Elephas maximus indicus: one gene and its partners. The protein of the gene in region 2 binds, or shares a complex with, the protein of the main gene of each other region. Links are inferred from orthologs where the notes say so. Each region holds a gene or a part of one and is shown on either strand. Other genes may lie near its edges.

Region 1 (7,403 bases), on a different chromosome or scaffold from region 2:
CCAGGTGCTCTGCATGACTCCAGAGCTCAACTACTACATTTCACTGCCTCAGGATGCACCCAAGAATTCATGCTGCCAGCAAGCAAAGATGTCAACTGAGGTGTTCTACAATAGCGGACCATACCCTTAACGTAGTAGCTGGCACAGATATTTGAAAGAATAAACATCAAAGAAAGGGAATGATATGGGTCCCTTTTAGGCTTGCAATCTAACTGGAACAGAAAAATCAAGAAAAACAATATATGCAGAAGTACCAACAGAAGGGAGAATAAAGGAGAAAATGGTAGAGTTATCAGGAACAAAATCTATGGAAGTAAGTCTAACTGGTTTCCTCAATACCTACATACTCACTGGCCTAGGAATAATGGGGATACAAATAAATCTAAGACCTTTATGATGCTAAGCTTAAGGGATGAGAACGGCAAAGGATATTAAATACACATTACACAATCGGCAAAAAGGAAGAAAGTACTAAACGGCATGATACTAACAACTAATACAAAGAAACTTAACCACATAGAACAGAAAAGTCAGAAGAGAGAGGGATTGCTGGGGACTGATTCAGTGATTGACAAAAGGCTTCATCTCAAATTGGGACCTAAAGGCTTGACTGAAACTTAGAACTGTGAAGCCCACCCAAGACTCGGGGAAATAGCTTCTATATATATTTCCAAGAAACTATGTGCTAATGTCTCTCATTTACATGCATAATACTCCTTTCAGCGAAGTATGTGGGGGAGACACTAAGGCACAGATTAAATAATTTGCCTCAAATTCAAAGGTAAAGTTTTAAAAACTTCACTATTTCCAGTCCAGTGTTCCAGCAAACATGGAACGTCATTCCTACAAGAGCTGAAGTTAATGGAGCCTGAAAATTATCTTCTTTAGTCATCCATCTCATTGGAAAGCTATGAGTGAAGGCTACTGGGAGTTAGAAATAACTGTTTCTACAATTCAGTCCTTTGGATAGAAAGCTGGGACACAGCCAAGCTACCTTGATGAGATATTTAATAAATAAAAGCTACCACTGCCCGTGGACGCTCTAACTTCACAGAGGAAGTATACCTCTCTTGTGTGAACTGAGATTTAAGCTCAGCAGCAAAAGCTTTCCAAATTGCAGTTCTATTTTTGTTTAGCACACCTACACCATTCAGACTAATTCAAACACTTTAACTGAAGAACGCAGGAGTTACAAGAAAAGTGCCAATATTCAAACTTTCTGCCAATTCCTGAGTGACCTTTCCAAAAGATTGATTTAAGGGTAGTATTCCTTTTTTTTTTTTTTTTTTAAACTAATGCCAGCTTGTATTAACATTCACAATGACTTTTCCTACAAAAAAAAAAAAAAGCCTCACAGCCACTTCAATACTACTCTGGAAATGATCTGCATTTGGAGAGACAGGTTCAAAATGGTGAGGTCGCTTGTCTGCAGTCATCTGCAAATCTGAGGCATCAGGAAGAGAATTAAGTTTTCTCTTAGTCCAGACCTACAGGCATTTCAGACAGAGGACTGCTGCTCAGTATAATTCCATCTGCTACTGAATGTGACTTTTGGCACACACACACAAAAAAATCACTCTCCTGATACAAGCCATGAGCAAAGCAGTGCCTAAGAACTCTAATGCCCTTTCTTCCTCCTTAGGATGAGTTTGGTAGGTTCCCCAGCATGAACAAGTCATCTTTCAGGCAAACCAATGCTTTCCTAATGTTCCTTTTCATTAAGGAACATGCTTTATTCTACAGGAGCCATAACGACTATGAAACAACCCTAAGAAAAGGAGGGCACAGTGGCTACAATGCTGTCCTGATACAATGGTTGGCATGAAACGACAGAGGAGAAAAAAGCAAACTGGTCCTCACAAGGTACAGAGGTAGTCCAGGGAAAATTCCAGAGGAGAAAAATCTCACTTTCAGCTGGGAAATTAAAGTGATGCCAGAGAAAACGGACAATATTTGTAATAAATACTAATGGCTTTTTTTTTTTTTAATTACATGCTATTCCTGGGTACGGAGGATACAGTGGGGAATACGACAAAAAAGTGGGGAAAACATTGTTGGCACTGGGAATATAAGCGCCATAACTACTTTGACTAGGGAAGGTGGGAGGGAGTAGAATGGACGAAACCTCTTCAAGGTGGAATGTGGAAGACAGGGGTGTGAAGGTTTCATTACAGTTCTGGAGTCGAACAGACTCGGATTTGAATCCTCCCTCACTTTACCCCTTAGCTAGCAGAGCGGGACTTCTGACTCATCTGTAAAGGGTACCTCACAAGAGCTGTGAGAATTCAAAAGGATCTCACCAGTGTCTGGCAAGAGCAAACCCTCTATATTGAAAACTGTATTATTCTTTTTAGCGTTTCGTCTTCTTGCTCCCAAAGCCTAGAACAGTGCCTGAAATCTCTTGGGAGATTTGAACACATCGGCTGACCGAATCAATGAGTAAAATAATGAATAGATGGGTGGATGAAAGGCTGAGCGGAGAATGAGGACAAAAACTACAAGGAGGTGGCTCTGTGCAACAAGAGAGCACATGAGGAGAACCTGAGAGGCAGGGAAGGCCCGGGACAGGTCACCGGGGGGCTGCGGCGGGGACGTGGGGGGAGGGGGAGGGAAGGAGAGGGTCCTCCAGGCGACCGCAAAGCGCCCGTTGCGCCTCGAGGTAGCGTCACAGCCAGACGAGGAAGCGCTAGTGGGGCTCCAAAGGACACACGGACGGGAAGAGGGGAAGAAGAGAAAAGGACTTGGGTGAGGAGACGGGAAGCCCAGAACTGAGGGATAAGGTGAGGAACCGGCCCTCCGCTTGGAGAAGTCCCTTCAGCTCCCCGCGCGCGGGGACCGTTTGCACGTAACCGCTTCCCGTCTCGGCGCCGTCTACCCAGCCGGGCTTCGCACCGCCACCGCCGCCACATCCCGCTCCCAATTCCCGCCCCGCTTCTGCTTAGTTTCGAGCCCGCGCCTCACAGCCAACCCCGACAACTTGGCCCGCTCCGCACCTCACACACGGCTCGCCGGCGGCCGCCGCCATCTTCCCGCGCGCGCGCCCCAGCCCCGCCCCCAGACGCGGCGCCCACGTGACCGCTCGCCTGGTACCTGACGCGTGGGGCGGAGCTTCCGTCACGTGAGTCCGGTACGGGGCGGGGCCAAGATGGCGATACCCGGGGAAGCGGAGAACCAGCGGCCAGGGTGTCCGCGGTCGTGAGGAAGGCGGCCGAGAGACGGTGTCTACTCCGTAAATTGGAGGCGGTGGAGAGTGACGGGACTCCAGCTTTCAGGCCGCAGAGAGTGACCTGCAGTGGAGTTCTGTCCTTACAACTGGAAAACGGAGGGAGAAGGTTACTGGCTGGGTGAAACCGTTGTCCTTTGCTTGGCGGTGCTGAGGGACCAAGAGTCCAAGGCGTCCCTAGTCACCCCGGCTTTCCGGGGGCCTCAAGCCTGGAGACATGACCCGAGATAGCGCTCCTCCGACCCCGGGGGCGGGAGCTCCGCTGAGCGGTTCGGTCCTGGCAGAGGCGGCAGTGGTGTTCGCCATGGTGCTGAGCATTCACGTAACCGTGTGGGACCGATACTCGTGGTGCGCTGTGGCCCTCGCAGTGCAGGCCTTCTACGTCCAATACAAGTGGGACCGGCTGCTCCAGCAAGGAGGCGCCGTCTTCCAGTTCCGAATGTCTGCCAACAGTGGACTACTGCCTGCCTCCATGGTCATGCCTTTGCTCGGACTGGTCATGAAGGAACGCTGCCAGGCTGCAGGGAACCCACACTTTGAACGTTTTGGTATCGTCGTAGCAGCCACTGGCATGGCAGTGGCCCTCTTCTCGTCAGTGTTGGCGCTGGGCATCACTCGCCCCGTGCCCACCAACACTTGCGTCATCTCGGGCTTGGCTGGAGGTGGCATCATTTACATCATGAAGCACTCGCTTAGTGTGGGTGAGGTGATTGAGGTCCTAGAGGTCCTGCTAATCTTCGTGTACCTCAACATGATCCTGCTGTACCTGCTGCCCCGCTGCTTCACCCCTGGAGAGGCAGTGCTGGTATTAGGTGGCATCAGCTTTGTGCTCAACCAGCTTATCAAGCGCTCTCTGACAGTGGTGGAAAACCAGGGGGACCCAGTGGACTTCTTCTTGTTGGTAGTGGTGGTAGGGATGGTGCTCATGGGTATCCTCTTCAGCACCCTCTTTGCCTTCATGGACTCAGGCACCTGGGCCTCCTCCATCTTCTTCCACCTCATGACCTGCGTGCTGGGCCTTGGTGTGGTCCTGCCCTGGCTGCATCGACTCATCCGCAGGAATCCCTTGCTCTGGCTCCTTCATTTCCTCTTCCAAACAGATACCCGCATCTACCTCCTAGCCTATTGGTCTCTGCTGGCCACCTTGGCCTGCCTGGTAGTGCTGTACCAGAATGCAAAGCGGTCATCTTCTGAATCCAAGAAGCACCAGGCCCCCACCATCGCCCGGAAGTATTTCCACTTCATTGTGGTAGCCACCTACATCCCAGGTATCATCTTTGACCGGCCACTGCTCTATGTGGCCGCCACTGTATGCCTGGCAGTCTTCATCTTCTTGGAGTATGTGCGCTACTTCCGCATCAAGCCCCTGGGCCACACTCTGCGGAACCTCCTGTCCCTCTTCCTGGATGAACGAGACAGTGGACCACTCATCCTGACCCACATCTACCTGCTCCTGGGCGTGTCTCTTCCCATTTGGCTGGTCCCCAGACCCTGTACACAGAAGGGTAGCTTCGGGGGAGCAAGGGCCCTAGTCCCTTACGCTGGCGTCCTGGCTGTGGGTGTAGGCGATACTGTGGCCTCTGTCTTTGGCAGCGCCATGGGAGAGATCCACTGGCCTGGAACTAAAAAGACTTTCGAGGGGACCATGACGTCTATATTTGCCCAGATCATTTCTGTAGCTCTGATCTTAATCTTTGACAGTGAAGTGGACCTAAACTACAATTATGCTTGGATTTTGGGGTCCATCAGTACTGTGTCCCTCCTAGAAGCGTACACCACACAGATAGACAATCTCCTTTTGCCTCTCTACCTCCTGATATTGCTGATGGCCTAGTTGTTGTGCAGCAGTAGTGATGGAGGAGACAGGAACATGGGGAGTGTGAATGGCCCCCACAGCAGCCAGCCACTTGGGTATGAAGAGCCAAGGGGTGAAAAGAAGATTGGACTTTTGGGTGGTTCAAATTTAAAATAAAAATCAAAGCTTTCTTGGTTTTAGTTTTGCTAATGTTAAAAAAAAAAAAAAAACAAAGAATAGTGCAGCAGCTCAAAGAATTCGAGTGTGCTGCAGACCCCCTCCCTCCACACACACACACCTAGCAGTCCTCAGAAGGGGCAGGAGTGGACACTGGAGGGAGGAAGTAGAGCATAGGGGTTAATGCTTCAGGTTCTGGTGTCAGACTAATCTGGTTAGAATCCTTGGTTGTGGCACTTAACTGTGTGGACTCAGTTCTCCTGTCTGCAAGATGAGAATTAACAGCGCATATCTCATGGGGGTGTTGTGAGGATCCAGTGAGATGAGATATGTAAAGTGTCCAGTCCAGGGCACGATGAGCAATCAGTGCGGGAAAGTGTCATTATAACCTGAGACCAGGTTCATCGTAGCAAAAAAGCCATGCGAGCCAAGGGGGCTTTATCAGTTGTACTTGGAGACCCGAGCGATCTTTACTTTTACTTCCCTGTTTCATTTGGGGTAGGAAGAACTGAAGGGGGGAGGTAGGGTCAGCTTGTTGTGTGTATGAAGAAGAGGATCAGGTCCTGCACTGATATTTTGTTTCAGCCAACCTCCTCCCCCACCCCCGCCCTCCAAGGCCTCTGCGGCCTGGCCGAGTGGTGCTGCTGAGCTGGACAGCACAGGATCTTGTCAAGGGGTCCCTCCTGAGACCCTCTCACACTCCAGTCACATCAAACCTGTCTTTGTCTCTTCCCTTGGCAGCATATTAAAGCCTTATGGGGCAGTTCTACTCTGTCCTATAGGCTCGCTATGAGCCGGAATTGACTCGACAGCACTGGGTTCTGGTTAGGACAGGTTCAGAGGGGCTGGAGGAGTTTCCTGGGAGTTCAGAATGGCTCTACTCTGGAACTCTGCCCGAGCAAGGAGCCTACACCGCAGCCTTGTGTCCCACGCAGAGAGCCTGGCACGTAAGCAGGAACTTGGTCGGCATTCGCTGAATGGATAAAAGTTTCCTATCAGCAGGAAGATAGCACAGCACATTTCATGAGGCTGAACGTCCAATCTGGTAGGGAAAGGCCTAGCACAAAGAGATGAGAACTTTGGTCCAACAAGGCCAGAAGCCAGGAGCAGAGCCAGGACCAGCTCTGGGGGAGCTTGCACTTCTGCCTGAGAATCACTGCCAAGTCCTTTCCCTCAGAGGAGGGTACCAAGACATTCCTTTAGGGCACAAAGGAGACTTAACAAATCTGTCCCTTCCTTCAGGCTCCCTTCTACTGCCTGCCAAATGGAGGCAGCATCAGCTTTGCCCCACTGATTCCCTGGGTGGTCTTGGGAGAGGGCTTTTTCCTCTGGCCTTGGTTGGTCCATGTATAGAGTGGGGGGCTACACTAAATCAGGGTCACAAACTTGCTCACCAATGTCAGCCAGGTAACAGACATGAATGAGGATGGGAAAGTGGGAACCGTGCCGGACCCAAAAGCACACATACCTCTAAAGAGGCAGCTCCAGCCAGTGGTAGCCATGTTAGTATGTGGGTCCTGTGTTATCACCTTCTGCTCATCAAAAAAGCTTAAAAGCCTGGATTTTTATGTGAAATTTCCCAATTTTTAAAAGCATTTTTAAAACACTGAAGTCCAAGCAAAACACATCTGCAGTGGCTTCGTCCTGTGGCCCCAGTGTGTGACCTCTGGGCCAGACCTAAGTCTGCAGGGACCTTCCAGCTAAGCAGGATTTGGATTTGGAAGTTGTGCCCACAGAGGGTCTGGGTACCTGCCAAACATTCATTCCCAAGCTCATCTTGAGATCAGGGCTGACTGGGAGAAAAGGACCAAGAATCCGCATTTGGAAGTTGTTTTTATTTAGTGTCTCATACAGTACAAATCAGAGTTGCACCTCAGAGGACAGAAGATAAGCCAGCAGAGAGGTGGCCAGAGCACTTTCATGCTGAGAGGCCACCTCGAGGAGGAGGATATGTTGGGGCAGGGAGAGGGCAGGGAGACAAGATCTTGGGGACGCCTCACATCTAGCCCCTGCTGCTCCTGCCACCCTCACCTCTTGCCTGCTGCCTGCTGGGCTCAGGGAACAGACACTAGCAGAGGAAAGCCCAGGAAAGAATCGACTTCGCCATTGCAGCCGGGAGGTCAGGAGAGGCAGCCTGGCATGCTGTCACTGTTTGCAGCCTCCCCTGGGAGGGGCAGTGCCCCAGTCCTGCTGAGGGCCATCAGGTGT
Region 2 (7,974 bases):
TAACAGACAGGGAGCAGGGCATAAAGAGTGGAATTTACATCAGCCTGAGACCAGAAGAACTAGATGGTGCCCGGCCACAACCAATGACTGCCCTGACAGGGAACACAACAGAGAACCCCTGAGGGAGCAGGAGAACAGTGGGATGCAGACCCCAAATTCTTGTAAAAAGACTAGACTTAATGGTCAGACTGGCCCTAGAAGGACCCTGGAGGCCATAGTCCCCAGACCTTCTGTTAGCCCAAGACAAGAACCATTCTCAAAGCCAACTCTTCAGACGGTGATTGGACTGGAATATGGGATGGAAAATGATACTGGTGAAGAACAAGCTCCTTGGATCAAGTAGACACATGAGACTATGTTGGCATCTCCTGTCTGGAGGGGAAATGAGAGGGCAGAGGAGGCCAGAAGCTGCCCGAATGGTCACAGGAGAGAGTGAAGGGAAGGGCTGTGCTATCTCATTAGGGAGAGAGCAATTCGGAGTGTATAGCAAGGTGTATGTAAATTTTTGCATGAGAGACTGACCTGATTTGTAACCTTTCACTTAAAAGACAATAAAAACTAATTAAAATAACAAAAAAGGGGGATATTGCCTTAAATAGGAGGAGGGGAGGAAACTGCTTGGAAAGGGTACAGAGATATCTAGGTTTGTATGTGTGACAAAGGGTGAAAAAAGAGAGGTTGTGCCTGTTGGCTTCTCATGTTCTCTGTGACTAGGTGGCTGAGGCTGAGGTATCAGCTGGAGGTTAAAGATTTGAGGAGTGTGAAAAAGGTCTGAAACTGTCACTGCTGTGAATGGGGCAGAGGTGACCAGATTACTGGAAGCACTGTCAAGTACTGTTAATGGTTGCTTACTAACAACAACTAGTAAGTCATGCAGGTGAAGTTCAAACACAGGTCTTAGGACTCTACAATCTATTTTTTCCCCTTCTACAATTGTAAAAAAAAAAAAAAAATTCTCCTGATTCTTAGATTTTAAAAAAATGTTTCTTTTCTACATAGCCAATTAAAAGCTCTGCCACAGGCTTTATTATACAAAGTACAATAAACACTTTGCAACTGTTGACAACTGCTTTTCCTTTCTGCTTCAGTGTTTAATGATAGTAACTCAGGATGAATAAGTACTAAGGAAATATATATAACCACACACACACAGTATACAAGCCTTGCTTTTAAGTTTATACCTGGTAGGAAACGTGACAGCAACATTAAGGACGTAACCTCATTATTAAAATTTAAATATATGAAAATTTGATGTAATAAAATGAATTGGGTTGTGATTAAATAGTAGCGTGCAATAGTTTGGAAACCATGGCGACGTAGTGGTTAAGTGCTGCAGCTGCTAACCAAAAGGTCGGCAGTTCGAATCCACCAGGCTCTCCTTGGATACCCTAGGGGACGGTTCTACTTTGTCCTATAGGGTTGCTATCAGTTGGAATTGACTGGATGGCAATGGTTTGTTTGGTTTTTTTTGAGGGCGGGGTGCAGTAATTTAAGCCCCTAAGCTGTATAAATCCTGGGGAAGTCACTAAACCTCTCGAAGCCTCTGTTTTCAAGTCTGTAAAGCGAGGTATTTAAAAGCCACCACTCCATAGGCGCCTCAGAGGAATTAAACGAGATAATACAAGTACAGCAGTCAGTCCAGTGCCTGGGACACAGGTGCTCAATAAATATAAACCATCGTTATTATAAAATAATTTATCATAGTGTTTTTAAGTGGTTTGGTTTATAAAACTCAAATTTAGACAATTTTTCAGGAGTACCCGTTCTGTGAAAAGTAGAACCTGCACTCCTCCCCCCCAAAAAGGCACTGCATAATTAGAGGCAAAAGGCTCCCACGAAGGAGTGCTCTTGAGTGAGATTCTCTACAAAGATTTATCGCACAGGTATTCTCTTAATTGTGACCAAGAAGCTAAGTGCGTCTCAACCGGGGCATTACTGACATTCCCAGCGGGAAATCCTACGTTTTCAGGACAGCCCCGCCCATACAGGACTTCTGACATCCTTGCCCCGCCCACTAAGCGCCAGTATCGCACCCCAGGAATTGTGACAATCAAAAATGCACCCAATATGAAACGTCCTTGGGGGAGGTACCGCCCTGGGTGGAAAAACACCAAAAGAAGCCCCACCCCAAATCTTCCGGCACTCCTTTCCAATCCCACTGCCACCGAGTACACTCCGACTCAGACTGCCACACTTTCCTCCTGCGGAGTGGCTGGTGGTTTCGAACTGCCGTCCTTTCAGTTAGCAGTCGGTCGCTTTAACCACTGCGTCACTAGTGCTCTTTAGAGTTCCTTTGCCACCTTCTAAATTCTGTTCCACCCCGAAGATCTACTGCCCCAAAGGTACAGGAGCATCCAGAGCCGGGCCACGCCCGCAGAGCTGGGAGTCATCAGCCAAGCCCGCGGCAACCCAAGCCCGGCCACTTTCCGGATCGCAGACTGCATAATCAAGGGTCCTCACTGCCTATAGGACTCCCCTGTCAGCGGCTCCGGTGCCTCCCTACGGATTTGGGGTTCGAGTTTTTCAGCTTCCGCTCGTGGCTGAAAAATCTCTCAGGTCCTTTGGGCTCACTGCCGGAGATTTGACGCCTATCTTGGCGAAACCCGGGCCGAGGATACCTAATAGGGTAGGGGGAGCAGGAACCAGACTCGGCCCCGGGCTGGGAGAGACTGCACATCCGGTTGCAGGGGACTAAGCCTCACTGCCTCGGCCCTGGGACGCCGACCCAAGGGCCAGAGCCGCCGCGCCAACGCGTGCCATTCAAACCTGAGAGGAGCGGGACCCTAGGCCCAAAGCTAGAAAAAGGCGGATACCGAGCACGCGTGGGGGCCTGGCCTCGGAGGAACCTCACAGCCCGAGCTCCTCCCTGAAGAACCGATCTCCGCCCTGCCCTGCCCGGCCTTTCCCTCCTGCCCTGGCCGCACTCACCCGAATTTACCGCCAACGGGGTCGCCATCTTGGAGGCGTACTAACGGAGCCCTCGGGCCGCACGGAGGACCCCGACGGGGTGAGGCTGCCCGCAGCGGCGCCTGAACAGAAAAGCTCCACGCTGTCCCCTCCGAACGGCGCGCTCGGTCGGCCTGGGCGGGCGAAAGACTCGAGAATCTGCTTTGGGTCACAAACGTCAATCTCCACCGGGATTAATCCCATTCAGGTAAGGCGAGGGCAACCAGTTCGGAGACGCGAGGCCCTCTGTCTTACTTTGAGCCTCTAGGCATCCTGGGACATGTAGTTTCTTCCTGGTGATAAGTGAAATTTGTTTATACCCGTTCCTTTCCAGGCGATTCCGACTCACAGCGACCCTATAGGACAGAGTAGAACTGCCCCATAAGGTTTCCTAGGAGTGGCTGGTGGATTCAGGTGGATTGGAACTGCGGACCTTTAGGTTCGCAGGCAAGCTCTTAACCACTGCACCACCAGGGCTCCGTAACGCTGGACAAAGACATCCTGAGACTAGTTATTAAAATGTCGCCTGTTTATGATATTATAAAAGCCGTGCATTCAAAATAATTCTCTTAATTTAAAACTAACTCTTCCTTGCATGTTGCGTCAACATTACAGAGAGTGAAAGAAATCAAAGGGAAACAAATCATAACTTTTTATTATGAAAGTTTTGAACATATACAAAATAAAAATAACGAGCCTCCAACGTCAAAAACTTGGCCAATTCTCCCCTCTCCGCAGCAAATTCCTGACATATTTCAGAAACACCAAGTATTTTTTACCTAAGCATCAGAATAGCTGGGCCCTGTTTATTCACTTGCATCAAACTAAAATATAAAAATCATTACAACTTATGCCAGGCATATATTAAAAATCGTATATGCATTATATCATTTAATTCCTGCCACAACCCTATAAGAGGGATGATAAAATTATAGCTGCTTATCTCAAAGATGCTCCATGTGTCTTACAGTCTCACTTTATCAACTCCAATATTTCACTGAGGTTGAGAGGAAATAGGGTTTGCATTCCCAGTTCACTGTCAGAATTAGAATTAAATAATGCAGATAAAACCATAGAGTATACTGTTGAGAATATTGAGTATATTCATTCTTTTGAACAAATAATATTGAGTGAGACTGGTCCAATGTACACTAGGTGAAACACAAAAGTTACTGGTGGTTTTTTTGAAAGCCATTTCAGTATAGAGGCAAATGCCAGGCTACAATGAAAGTGATTCTCAGGAATGAAGGGGAAGAGAGAGGAAGAGAGAATGAAGGGATTTTTCATGAAGTTCTCCATGAAGGTGAGAAGAAAATTGATCGGGAACTTGGAAGGAAGCAGAGTCCAAACAAGATTTTCTTTCTCAGCACAACTCTTACAAGCCTTCCTCCCACACACACTCTTTAAGCCCACATACTTCCCTCTTGGTCGATGGCTTTGCTTTCCGTGAAGGAATGATTTAACTTCCTGCAGCTCACGCTCACCCATCACCACACTGACTCAAGTTCTCTCATGGGATGCCTCAACCCATAGCAATCAGGATATTGCCCCCATCACCACCCCTCTAAAACTGCTCCCAGTAAAGTCACCTGTGACCAACTGTCAAATCCCACGTGCACTTTTCTGAATGTCTTAGAAACGTTTTTTCTGGTCTTGGCTTGTGGAGCATCACACGTCCAGGTTTTCCTCTTTCTAGTTTTCCTTTTACGTTTCCTGCATGGGCTGCTCTTCCTTTTTTCACCCATTAAATGTAGCTCTCCCCTCATGGTCCCTCCCTTGGTCTCTGTTCTACATGCTTTCTCTGGGAGATCCTATGGCTTCTTAGTACTACCTGTTGGCTGATAAATCCGTACTTGTATCTCTAGTCTGGGCCTCTCTCCTGGCGCCTCCATAATCTACTTACTGGGAGAGAAAGAGAGGGGCCATGTAGAATAGTGTTAAGAAACCAGACCCTAGAGCCAGGCTTCTGGGGTTCAAATCCTGTTTCAATCACTTGGCTGTGAAACAATCCTCAGTGCCTCAGTTTCCTCACCTTTCAAAGAGGATGACGATGACAATAGTACTTACGCCCTTGGGTTGTTGAGAGGCTTATTTGTAAAGTGCTTAGAATGTGCCTGACACATAGGCTATATGAGCATTTGTTAAATAAGGATAAGCTATGTCTAATCTGCCCTGTGGGGTCGCTATGAGTGGGAATTGACTTGACTATGAGTGGGAATTGACTTGACAGCAATATATATATATATATATATATATATATATATATGGTAAAATAAGTGCGAAATGGAGGTGTAGTCAATTACTTAGGGCTAGTTTAACCAGGCTGTTAGAGTGCACTGAGGCCTTGGGAGTGCTCTACAATTAAACAATTTGTGATTAATCTGCAACGAGGGGCTGCACTGTGCCACAGTCCAATTGATCCATTCCAAGAGACAGAAGGCTATAATCTTGCACTCCCAATGGTTTTAGATTATTCATAACTTCTCTCATTGCCCTAATTGAGATTTAACTGCATACACGAAGCTCTTTCAGATCTTAAAATAGACAGATAGCTGCTGTCGAGTTGACTCCGACTCAAGGCAACCTCATATACAACAGAATGAAATGTTGCCTGGTCCTGCATCATCCTTACCATTGCCAGCACGTCTGAGTCCTTCGCTGCAGCCAGGGGTGGATTACCCAATAACCAAGGTAAGCACGTGCTTAGAGTGTCAACAAAACAGGGGCACCAGTTGTCCAAAGCAAAGACCCATAGATGCCAAGAAGACAAGACACAAGGAAAAGCAAGCACCACAGAGGAAGAGAACTGGCAAGGCACTAAACGAAACTGATACTCATTCCAGTGCGTGAGAATGTGCCAACCAGAAATAAAGTTCACACAAGGTCACGACAGTGCCTATACATAGGGTTGTTTAAGCTATGAGGCCCCTACCACTTCAACATCTTTGTTGACATCTGTCTCCTACGGTCCCTTCCTGTGTAATCGAAATTCCTTGTCTCAGTGAGTCTCTTGTGAGTATACTGTTTCTTCCGAATAAATAAGAGGTGGGGTGGGCCGTCAAGTCTAACTCTTGCTACATTCATCCAATATGCAGCTTGATCCAACAAGAGTGGTTACTGGGCAAGGATGGATTATATTAATAGATAACAAGTCTCAGATCCAGTCACACCCGTCCATATCTGCTGATCCAGCAACTCCAGCCAGGAGACAATGATTTTGGCCATGATGCAAACACAAGGATACGGTCTTGTGCACGTCCTGGTAAACAGCCAATGGGAACTCCAGTCCCAGATGACTCGCAAAAGTGAGGGAACTCAAATAAGTCAACTACTGCAATGAATCCAATCAAGTTACTTTTTAACTGTCTAGCATTTACATACTGAATTATGTCCTAAGTAATGTAAACAATAACATTTATAACTTTAAAATATGTTTGGCATAAAGGCAGACACAGTTTAGCATACATTTAATATAATACTAATGGGCAATAATTTAATGTAATACTAACATAGCAAACATCCAAAAATACTAGAAATAATAATATTTATCTAACAGGGAAAGTTTTAATTTATGTGTCAAGTGAGTTTTGTTTTTTATTGTCTGTTGTGTGAACACAGTGCTTGATATTGCTGTATATGTGCTAATGAACACAGTATCAGGCAAGTTAAGATTATGCAAAATTCAATATTTATCATGCATAATATGTTTCTGTTTTGCAACAATGAGTCTGTTTATAAATTCATCCTCCAAGAAAGCAACAAAGGACATTTATCAGAACATTATATTTTATCAGAATATTTATGTATCTCTGTGTAAGGAAATTGAACAATTCCTCAAGGAAATAAATTAAATGAAACGTTAGATAATAAAAATTATATAAGTGTATTTTATTTTCCATTTCCTTTCAGAAGTCGATTGACATTGTTATGACTCACAAAACAAACTTGCTTTTCGAGAAGTGCTGTTATCGTTACATCAGTTATGTGTGTATGTATCTCCAAATATGGGAGTTGAACGATTCCACAAAGAAATAAAATGCATATTTTATAAATGTTGTATACGATAACAATTATATTTTCCTTTTCATTTCGGACCTATCAGGTATGACCTCACATTCAGTTGTTGCTCACCAAACACAAAAGAACGCATCATTGCGACTATAATCATGTAACTTGTGACATACTAGTCCTGTCCTGCGCAAATTGAACCAAAATGTATCTGCACATTCAGCAAACCCTTGTATTTGTATCATGCTCTTTGAAATTGCTCTCACACCCCTTGAGTATCAGCAGTAGTCCAATGATCTGTGAAGATGCAGTATCGAAGGATGAAAAGTGAGTGCACAAGTGTTTAAGTATTATTTCAGGATGAAAAACACTCATGGAGATCTGTGTAGGGCCCATCAACAAGCATCATACAATAAATTAATGAAATTATTTCTGACTGCCTTGTAAGTTCTATTTTTTTAATTGTCTCAGACCTGCAGAACAAAATTGCATGTTCCAAATCAAATTTTTTTTAACTTACTAATTTTCAAATATAGATTTTTGTGTTAACATCCAAATTCTAATGTAAATTTTGTCTTATAAGTTTCCCTTGTTTTATAAATTTTATGTTCAATTTTTCGAATTTATTGCCACAGTTGAACCAAATTTAAAAAGTGACATAATTTTATATCCAAGTAAAATGAAACGGCAACAACTAAGTGAAGCACAAAAAACGACAGCTCACAGAAGATAAAAAGGATTTGTGAATCTCCAAAGGCAATTTGAAAATTAACTTCCTCTTTATAACACAATGAATCAGAAGAACTTCTTCCATTGAACGCTAGAGTTTAACAGGTACAAATTGTTGTACTAGTACCACTAGTGCTGAAAATACTAATAGAAATATGATTATAACAGAATTTGTTCTACATTCTGCATCTATTCCTTTCTGCAGTAAAAACAGTTAACAATGGTGTAGAAAGTGAAACTATTTTAGAATCTGAAATTGTTAACATTTGCAAACCCCATAAATAACAGAAA
Region 3 (7,545 bases), on a different chromosome or scaffold from region 2:
AGTCAGAAACCAGCTAAAGAGTCACTCCAGGGTGCCCTTTTTCCTCCTGAACATTCAGCCAATCCCCAGGTCTACCACCCAAACCTTTTGCAAAGCCAACCCTTATCTCTTTCGCCCCTACACTGATCCTCTCGCTCTTCTCCTGGATCACCTCAACAGTCTAGGTCTTCTCGTTCCTCCAATTCATCCTCCCCATGGCCAGAGAGAGTTTTCTGAAATACTCCCCAGGAAATACCTTCCATCCACTACAGGAGGAAGTACTCACCCTCTGCCATAGCTATTCAGGGTGCCCTCCATAGAACAGACACTGCCACCCTTATCATATTCACCTATTATTGCCCTCCCCCAACTCTACACTCCAGGAACTCTCTATTTCTTGGAGTTCCTCATGCTGTTTCCTCTGTCCCCATGCCAGGTGCACACTCACAGTGCCATCCCCACCCTGTCCACATAAGGAGGCTATGTGTCCTGTAAAGCCAGCTGGGGCAGCCCCGCTCATCCCAGCCCCCTCCCACACTATTCTGCATTTTCTATCGCTGCTCCTCCCTAGTGAAGTAGTTGTGATTACTTCTGTCTCCCTCACTGGGTGGCGAATTCCTGTAGGGTAAGGTCCATGGACTGCTCAACTCTAAATCCTCAGCAGTTGATAAGCTTGGCAACTAACAGGCACCAAATAAATGTCTGCAGAATTAAAAGTGACCTGTTTCCTGAACACACCCTGCCCCCCCACCCCCAGCACATCTCTCTTTCCCTCTACCTTATTTTCTGCCTCAGCCTATCAGGACGCAGATTCAGATATTCAAGTTCTTCACATCCCCAACTTGTTCCCACCTCAGGGTCTTTGATTTTGCTGTTCCCCCTGCCAGGAATGCTCTTGCCCTAGATATTCCTATGACTTGCACTCTCATTTCAGGCAGGTCCCTATTCAAATAATCTGTCCTCATTTATAAAATGCCCGACACCACATTCTATATTTGTGTTTTTTTTGTCAGTGGCCTCTCTAGGACCATCCGCTCAATGACAGCAGGTCTGTCTCATTCACCACTGTATCCCCAAGCCTATAACAGTGCCAAGCACAGTCATTTCTTCCATATTTACTAAGCATCTACTGTGTGCCAGGCCTAGGTGCTTGGGATATGTAAGGGAAAAAAACAGATAAAAATCCCTTCCCTCCAGGAGCTCACATTCTAGAGGGGGAAGACAAACAATACACACAATAAATATGTAAAATATAACTCCTAAGAAGAAAAACTAAAGCAGTTAAGGAAGACAGGAAGTGGGAAAAGCCTCATTAGGCGACCCTTCAGTAAAGTTCTAAAAGAAGTAAGTGAGCAAGTCACATGAATATTGAACTGCAAGTGCAAAGGCCCTGAGGCTAAAGCATGTCTGACTCCTGTAAGGGAAGGGTTGGGGAGGGTAGAAGAAAACGAGATCAGAAAACTGTCAGTGGGTCAGGCTGTGTAAAGCTTTAGGGCTCACAGTAAGGAGTCTGTGTTTTATTATTAATGAAATGGGGACCTATTCAAGGGTTTTTTGAGTAGAGAAGTGATATGATCTGGCCTGCTTTACAAGGATCCCTCTTGCCGCTGTGCTGAAAATGGAGGCCAGGGTAGAAGCAGGGAGACCAGTTGGGAGGCTATTCCAATAATCCAGGTGACAGGTGGCAGTGACTTAGCCCAGGATGGCAGGCATTGGACATAGAGTGAGACAGAAGAGCAATCAAAGATGACTCTAAGGGTATTGGCCAGAGCAGCTAAAGGATGCACTTGGCTTTTATTTCACTGAGATAAAAAGAGCAAGAGGAGCAATCTGGAGAGGGAGATGGAGGGGAGCTTTCGAGCGCCATTTTGGCAGATTCAGTTTGAGCTCCCCATCATCCATTTCAGTAGACATCAAGCAGGCAGCTAGATAAAGGCCTGGGAGAGGCCCAGGCTGGAGGTATAAATCCGAGCTGTTAGCTTAATATATAGGTATTTAAAGGTATAAGTCTGGATGAGTTCACCATGAGTGAAAGATGAAAGCATCACAAACACAAAAGCACAAAGAAGAATGGTGGAAAGAAACAAAGAAGAAAAGCTACAAGCCTGAAAAACCTCTCCCCCCAAATCTGGTCTGCGGTCAGTATTAGAAGACAGAATACAAAAGGTGACCCTTGCTTGTGCGGAAAGACCTTGGCCAAAACAAACAAAAAACAAAACCTCCTTCCTACACCTGGCTGAAGGGCAAATCCGAACCAATCGGCTCTGTCAAGGTATCCTTCAAACTTTGACTAAAGACCCCTGGCGTCGGCCCCATAATTTTTTAAAAGGAATCCAGTAAAACTCAGGCATCGCCTCTGCAGAAGATGGGATGCTGTAAGCCCAGAAAAAGGATGGATCACCCCCGAATTCCAATCATAAGCAATTCCCCGAATGGGGAGAAACATCCCCCTGAACGTCTGTTCAGAAGGAAGGGCAAGGGATGGGAGAGGCTTACAGGGTGGTCTCCCCCCTACCCAAAGGCTCCTTCCTTCAGAAGGCAATGCTTCCCAAGAGGGTGTATCCCCGGGGAGCCAGCGAGCCGGCAGGGCTCGGTCAGTGGAGGAATCAGGAAGGATGTTGCAGTGGGAAGGGGGCGCCGATCCAGCCAAGGGTGGGCCCGTAGGGCAAGGGGTGGGGGCGTGGTGCGCCGCGGCGACTGCTATAACGGGGGAGAGGGAGATCAGGAGGCTAAGGCTCTGTACTCAAGAAGAGGGCAAATAAAAGGCATTCCAGGGGCGCAACCCTACGCTATAATGGGGGGCGGTTCGACAGGGCGTTATGTCACCAGCGTCAGGCGTGCCTGGCTGCCACGAGGAGAACGGGAAGTGTGAACGGCACAGCTCCGAGCGTGGGGACGGAGCTCCGCCCAGGCGCAAAATCCGGGGTTCAAGGACAAGCCCCAGGTCGGAAGGACGTGCACAGAAGCGACCTTACCTGGCGCCGTAGCCGTCTCCCCCGCTCAGGTCCGGGTTTGAGAGCGCGGCCGCCGCTTCTCGCGCCGCTCACCTGCGCTTCCTGATTGGCCGAGGCTGGACGCTCCCAGAAACCCCTGCGAGGCGCGCCACCGAAGGAACTTTATGGAGACCCGCGGAGAAGGACAGGAACATGGGTGGGGCCGGGGGCGGGGATGGGGCGGGGCCTTGGGCGGGGTCTGAGGCTGCGCTGTCACTCCCGACACACCCGCGGCCACCGCCCTTACCCTCCCACGTGGTTAGAATCCGCTCTGCTGGGAGAACGCGATTCCACAATTGGCCTGCGCGGATTTCTCGCCCCTTATTAAGCGCCATCCAAGTACCAGGGACTATTCTAGGCGCTGGAGACACAGCGACGACCACGACAGACAAAACCCCTGCCCTAGTGGAGCTCTCAGGCTGGTGAGGGAAACATAATATAAGTAAATAAATAATAAATGACTGAACATTGTCAGAAGGACTATGAAGAAAGAAGAGCGACCGGAGAGAGTGCCTGGATGGCCAAGGAAGGCCTCTCTGAGGAGGTGACATTTGAGGCGAAGCATGAATGATGACAAAGGGTCAGCCTTGCACAGTCTTGGCTGCAGCATTTCAAGCAGAGGGACAAGAGTGAAGGCTCGGAGGGGGAACAAGCTTGGCGTTTGAGGAATAGAAAGGGGTGTATGGCTGGAAAACGGTGACTGAAGGCAGATGGGGTAAGACTCACAGTAGGCTGGGCCAGACTTGCAGGTCCTTTCCACCATGGCAAAAAAAGTTCAATTTCTTCTTCATGCAATGGGAAGTCTAAGTCTTTTCGTTGCTCCAACCCATCCGTCCCGTGGCTGGAGAGGCCTTTCTGAAATTCTCCTCTGCTTTGAGCCTTTTTTTTTTGAGCCCATCAGGCAGAGGGTCAGCTCAGATGTCACCGTCCAGCCACAACAGGAGGAAGTACTCATCCTTTGACATAGCTATACAGGTGCTCTCTATAGAATGGGCACAGCCACACTTATTCTCATCTGTTATTGCCCTTTAACCAACTCTATTACATTTTTTCATGAAGTGTAATTTACAATAAAATGCACCTGTTTTAAGAGCACACTTAGATTCATTTGAACAAATGTGTCTTTGTAGCCATTGCGCCAAGATATAAAACATTTTCATCATCCTAAAAAATTTCCTCAGATCCCTTTGCAGTCAATCTCATTTCCAACCCCCCCCCCAAAAAAAACCTGGGAAACCACTGATTTGCTTTCTATCATTAGTTTTGCCTGTTCTAGAATTTCATGTAAATAGAATCATACCATATCTTTTGTGTCTGGCTTCTTTAGCTCAGTTGATACCTGTATCACTAATTCCTTTTTATTACCAAGTAGTATTCATTGTATAGATACACCGTGTATTATTTATCCATTCATCTATGAGTCGGAATCTACTCGATGGCAATGGGTTTGGTTATTTTGTTTTTATTGATAGATGTCTGAGTTATTTCCAGTTTATGGCTATTATGAATAAGCTTCTATGAACATTTTTGTACAAGTTTTTGTACGAATGTATATTTCCATGTCTCTTAGATAAGTATCTAGCAGTGGAATTTCTGGGTCATATGGTGCCCTGATTAAGCGTTCAGCTGCTAACCAAAAGTTTGGCAGTTCAAATCCACCAGCTGCTCCTTGGAAACCCTATGTGGCAGCTCTGCTCTGTTCTATAGGGTCACTATGAGTTGGAATTGACTTGACGGCAACAGGTTTGGTTATTTTGATGTTTGTGGTAAATATGTGTTTAACTTTATTAAAAACTGTCAAATTATTTTCTAAAGTGGTTGCACCAGTTTGCATTCCCACCAGCAAGGTGAGCTCCAGTTGCTCTACATCTTCGCTAACACTTGATATTGTTAGTTTGTTTTGGAGTTTTTATTTTTGAGCCATCCTAATAGGTGTGTAGGGTATCTCAGTGCAGTTTAAATTTTTTATTTCCCTGAAAACTAATGATGGTGAGAAAATGGCTACATTTTAAAATTGACAACACCAGTCACGGAGGCGGCACGTGGAGCAACAGAAACCATCAGGTACTGCTGAGGGCTTGTCAGTGGGTACACCCACCTTGGAAAATGGCTCCATCTATTAAAGCTAAATATATATGCTCTGTTGTTTTGGGGTGCCACTGAGTCAATTTTCTACTCGTAGTGACCCATAGGGTTTTCTAGGCTGTAATCTTTACAGAAGCAGATCTCCGAGTCTTTCTCCCATGGAGCCTCACAATGGGTTGAAACCGCTGCAGCTTACAGTTTGCACCCAAGCACTTAACCATTGTACCACCAGGGCTCCTTTACATGTACATACTCTACAAAACAACAATTCTATGTACATATCTGTCTATCTCCAGCATAAATGTGTGCATATTCTCACCGGAAGTCATGTATAACAACATTCATGGCACCATAATTTGTACTAGGCTGAAAGTACAACCTAAATGTCCCTTAACAGAAGAGCGGACATGCAAATTATGCTGTGGTCATGTAACAAATGCAGTAAGAAAAAGAATGAACTACATCCACAAAAAGCAACTTAAAGGAACCTCACGGACATACTGGTAAGCAAAAGTAAAAAAAAAAAAAAAAACCAGTGCCGTGGAGTCGATTCCAACTCATAGCAAAAGTAGCCAGACACAAAAGTATAACTCCATTTATATAAAGTTCAAGTCAGGCCAAACTAATCTATGGTGACAGATGTCAGAATAGTGGTTATTTTGAAGGGGGAAGGAAGGAGCTATAGACTGGAAAGAAGAATGAAGGAATCCGAGGTCTGTTAATGTGTTATTTCTTATCTGGAAGCCAAGTGCCAATTTTTTTTAAAATTCACTAAGCTGCACGTTTAAGATTTTGTGCACTTTACTACGTATATATTATTCATTATATTACAATAAAAAGTTAAAAATAATGTAAAACGTCCCCTTTACTGTGGAATATTACATTTTTTACTACTCAAAATTCACATCACTGTCCCTCCCCCTACTGTCTGTAGTTTTGAACCTCATTGAACTACTGTGGTAGTCCCCCACAATACCCAGCACGTGTCACAGGGAAGGAAAGCAAGAAATATTTCTTTTAAGTAACAGAATCAAGCTCCACTGATTGCCTCCCTATCTTGACTGCGCTGCCAGAGGTGAAGTTCTTAGTGGGTGGCAACAAATTACCTAAAGCTTTGTGGTCAGTGGCTGAGTGATGAGCAATGTCCTTTAAAAATCATGAGAAGCTTCAAAGGGAAGCTTCTAACTATGCTTTCAGATGGGTTTAATTTCAGCTGCACAAAAGGCGACTTGACATTATCAGAAATGGCAAATAAGCTTTCTCTTGAACACTAAACCAGTCGCCGTCGAGTTGACTCCAATTCGTGGTGACCCCATGTGTTGCAGATAGGACTGATCCATAGGGTTTTCTGGGCTGTAATCTTGACAGAAGCAGATATCCAGGACTTTCTTTTGCAGCACCACTGAGTGAGTTCAAATCACCAACCTTTCGGTTAGTAGTTGAGCGCAAAGCGTCTGGCTATTCAGGGACCTAGTTCAAGAGCAGGCATAGCTGATCTGTGGTGATAGAGGTGAGGATAATTGTTCCTCAGGAGTAGGTATGACTGGGAAAGAGCTCAAGGGAACTGTCTGGGTTGCCAGAAATAGTCTGTATCTTGATCTGGATGGCAACACAGGTGTGTGCATATATATATATATATATATTTTATATGTGAAGTTTTATTTAGCTGTACACTTAAGGTTTGTGCATTTTACTGGGTGAAATTATTTCTCGATAAAAATATTAACAAACTTAAACTTAAAAAGTGATTCATGCCTGTTATTCTGTTTGAGCCTGGCAACAATCTTGGGGTAGGCAGGGCAGGGCTTATTATCATCATTTATCCCATGGGAAACCTAAGATCTAGGGGGGTTCCGTGACTTACCCAAGGTCACACAGGCAAGAAGTAGTGGCAGACCTGAGCCTACACATTCAAGTCTTCTGACATCTGGGACAGTCTCTCTAGCCCAAGAGAGCCTCAGAGGTGAACTTAGAACCAACCCTACATGAATTATAATGAGGAGCTACCCAACGAAGTCCTTAAGGGAATTTTAGTGCCAACTTTCTGAACTGGGACCGGAACGAATCCCACGCCCTCATTAATCAGCAGCAGCCGGCTATCAGATGACATTGTGAAGGTGGTGGGTTTTTTAAACATCTGGTTATTTCATTTGTTATTAAACATACTGTTGAGTAAAAAAAAATCCTACACATCTTTCCATTGCTGCTGTTTAAAAACAGCTTTGCCAACATCTATCAACTTCATTTACGTCAAATTGTGCAATTTGTCACTGAGGCTGAATTTGCCAAACGAGAAAGGAATTTGATTGACAAGGCTCCAGGGCTTCTCTCTCCTCCTTTTCAATATTCCAGATGTTGAAGAAAGTTGGATCCACCCCCAGGAAAGCTCAGATGTGAGTGAAAAATGTACCAATGGAGCTTCAGGGATATGGTTTCAGTTTCTGTAGAAACTTTGCCTCCAAGAGACCCCATCTTCTTGATTGGTTCA

Evidence for each region.
Region 1: NUP205 (region 2) and NUP188 share a complex: the UniProt entries of both Homo sapiens proteins name them as parts of the nuclear pore complex. The link is inferred for Elephas maximus indicus from reciprocal best matches to the Homo sapiens genes NUP205 and NUP188.
Region 3: NUP205 (region 2) and NUP93 share a complex: the UniProt entries of both Homo sapiens proteins name them as parts of the nuclear pore complex. The link is inferred for Elephas maximus indicus from reciprocal best matches to the Homo sapiens genes NUP205 and NUP93.

What each region holds. Positions count from the first base shown.
Region 1 is NC_064827.1:79,928,726-79,936,128, reverse strand, and holds the start of NUP188 (nucleoporin NUP188), read right to left. Parts: upstream 3,073-7,403; 5' UTR 3,026-3,072; coding exon 2,994-3,025; intron 1-2,993. Other genes in the region: DOLK (dolichol kinase), read left to right, coding at 3,441-5,057; PHYHD1 (phytanoyl-CoA dioxygenase domain-containing protein 1), read right to left, coding at 7,396-7,403. UniProt on the Homo sapiens protein: Component of the nuclear pore complex (NPC), a complex required for the trafficking across the nuclear envelope. Required for proper protein transport into the nucleus.
Region 2 is NC_064826.1:14,293,057-14,301,030, forward strand, and holds the start of NUP205 (nuclear pore complex protein Nup205), read right to left. Parts: upstream 3,019-7,974; 5' UTR 2,957-3,018; coding exon 2,929-2,956; intron 1-2,928. UniProt on the Homo sapiens protein: Plays a role in the nuclear pore complex (NPC) assembly and/or maintenance. May anchor NUP62 and other nucleoporins, but not NUP153 and TPR, to the NPC.
Region 3 is NC_064839.1:23,667,318-23,674,862, reverse strand, and holds the start of NUP93 (nuclear pore complex protein Nup93), read right to left. Parts: upstream 3,096-7,545; 5' UTR 2,955-3,095; intron 1-2,954. UniProt on the Homo sapiens protein: Plays a role in the nuclear pore complex (NPC) assembly and/or maintenance. May anchor nucleoporins, but not NUP153 and TPR, to the NPC. During renal development, regulates podocyte migration and proliferation through SMAD4 signaling.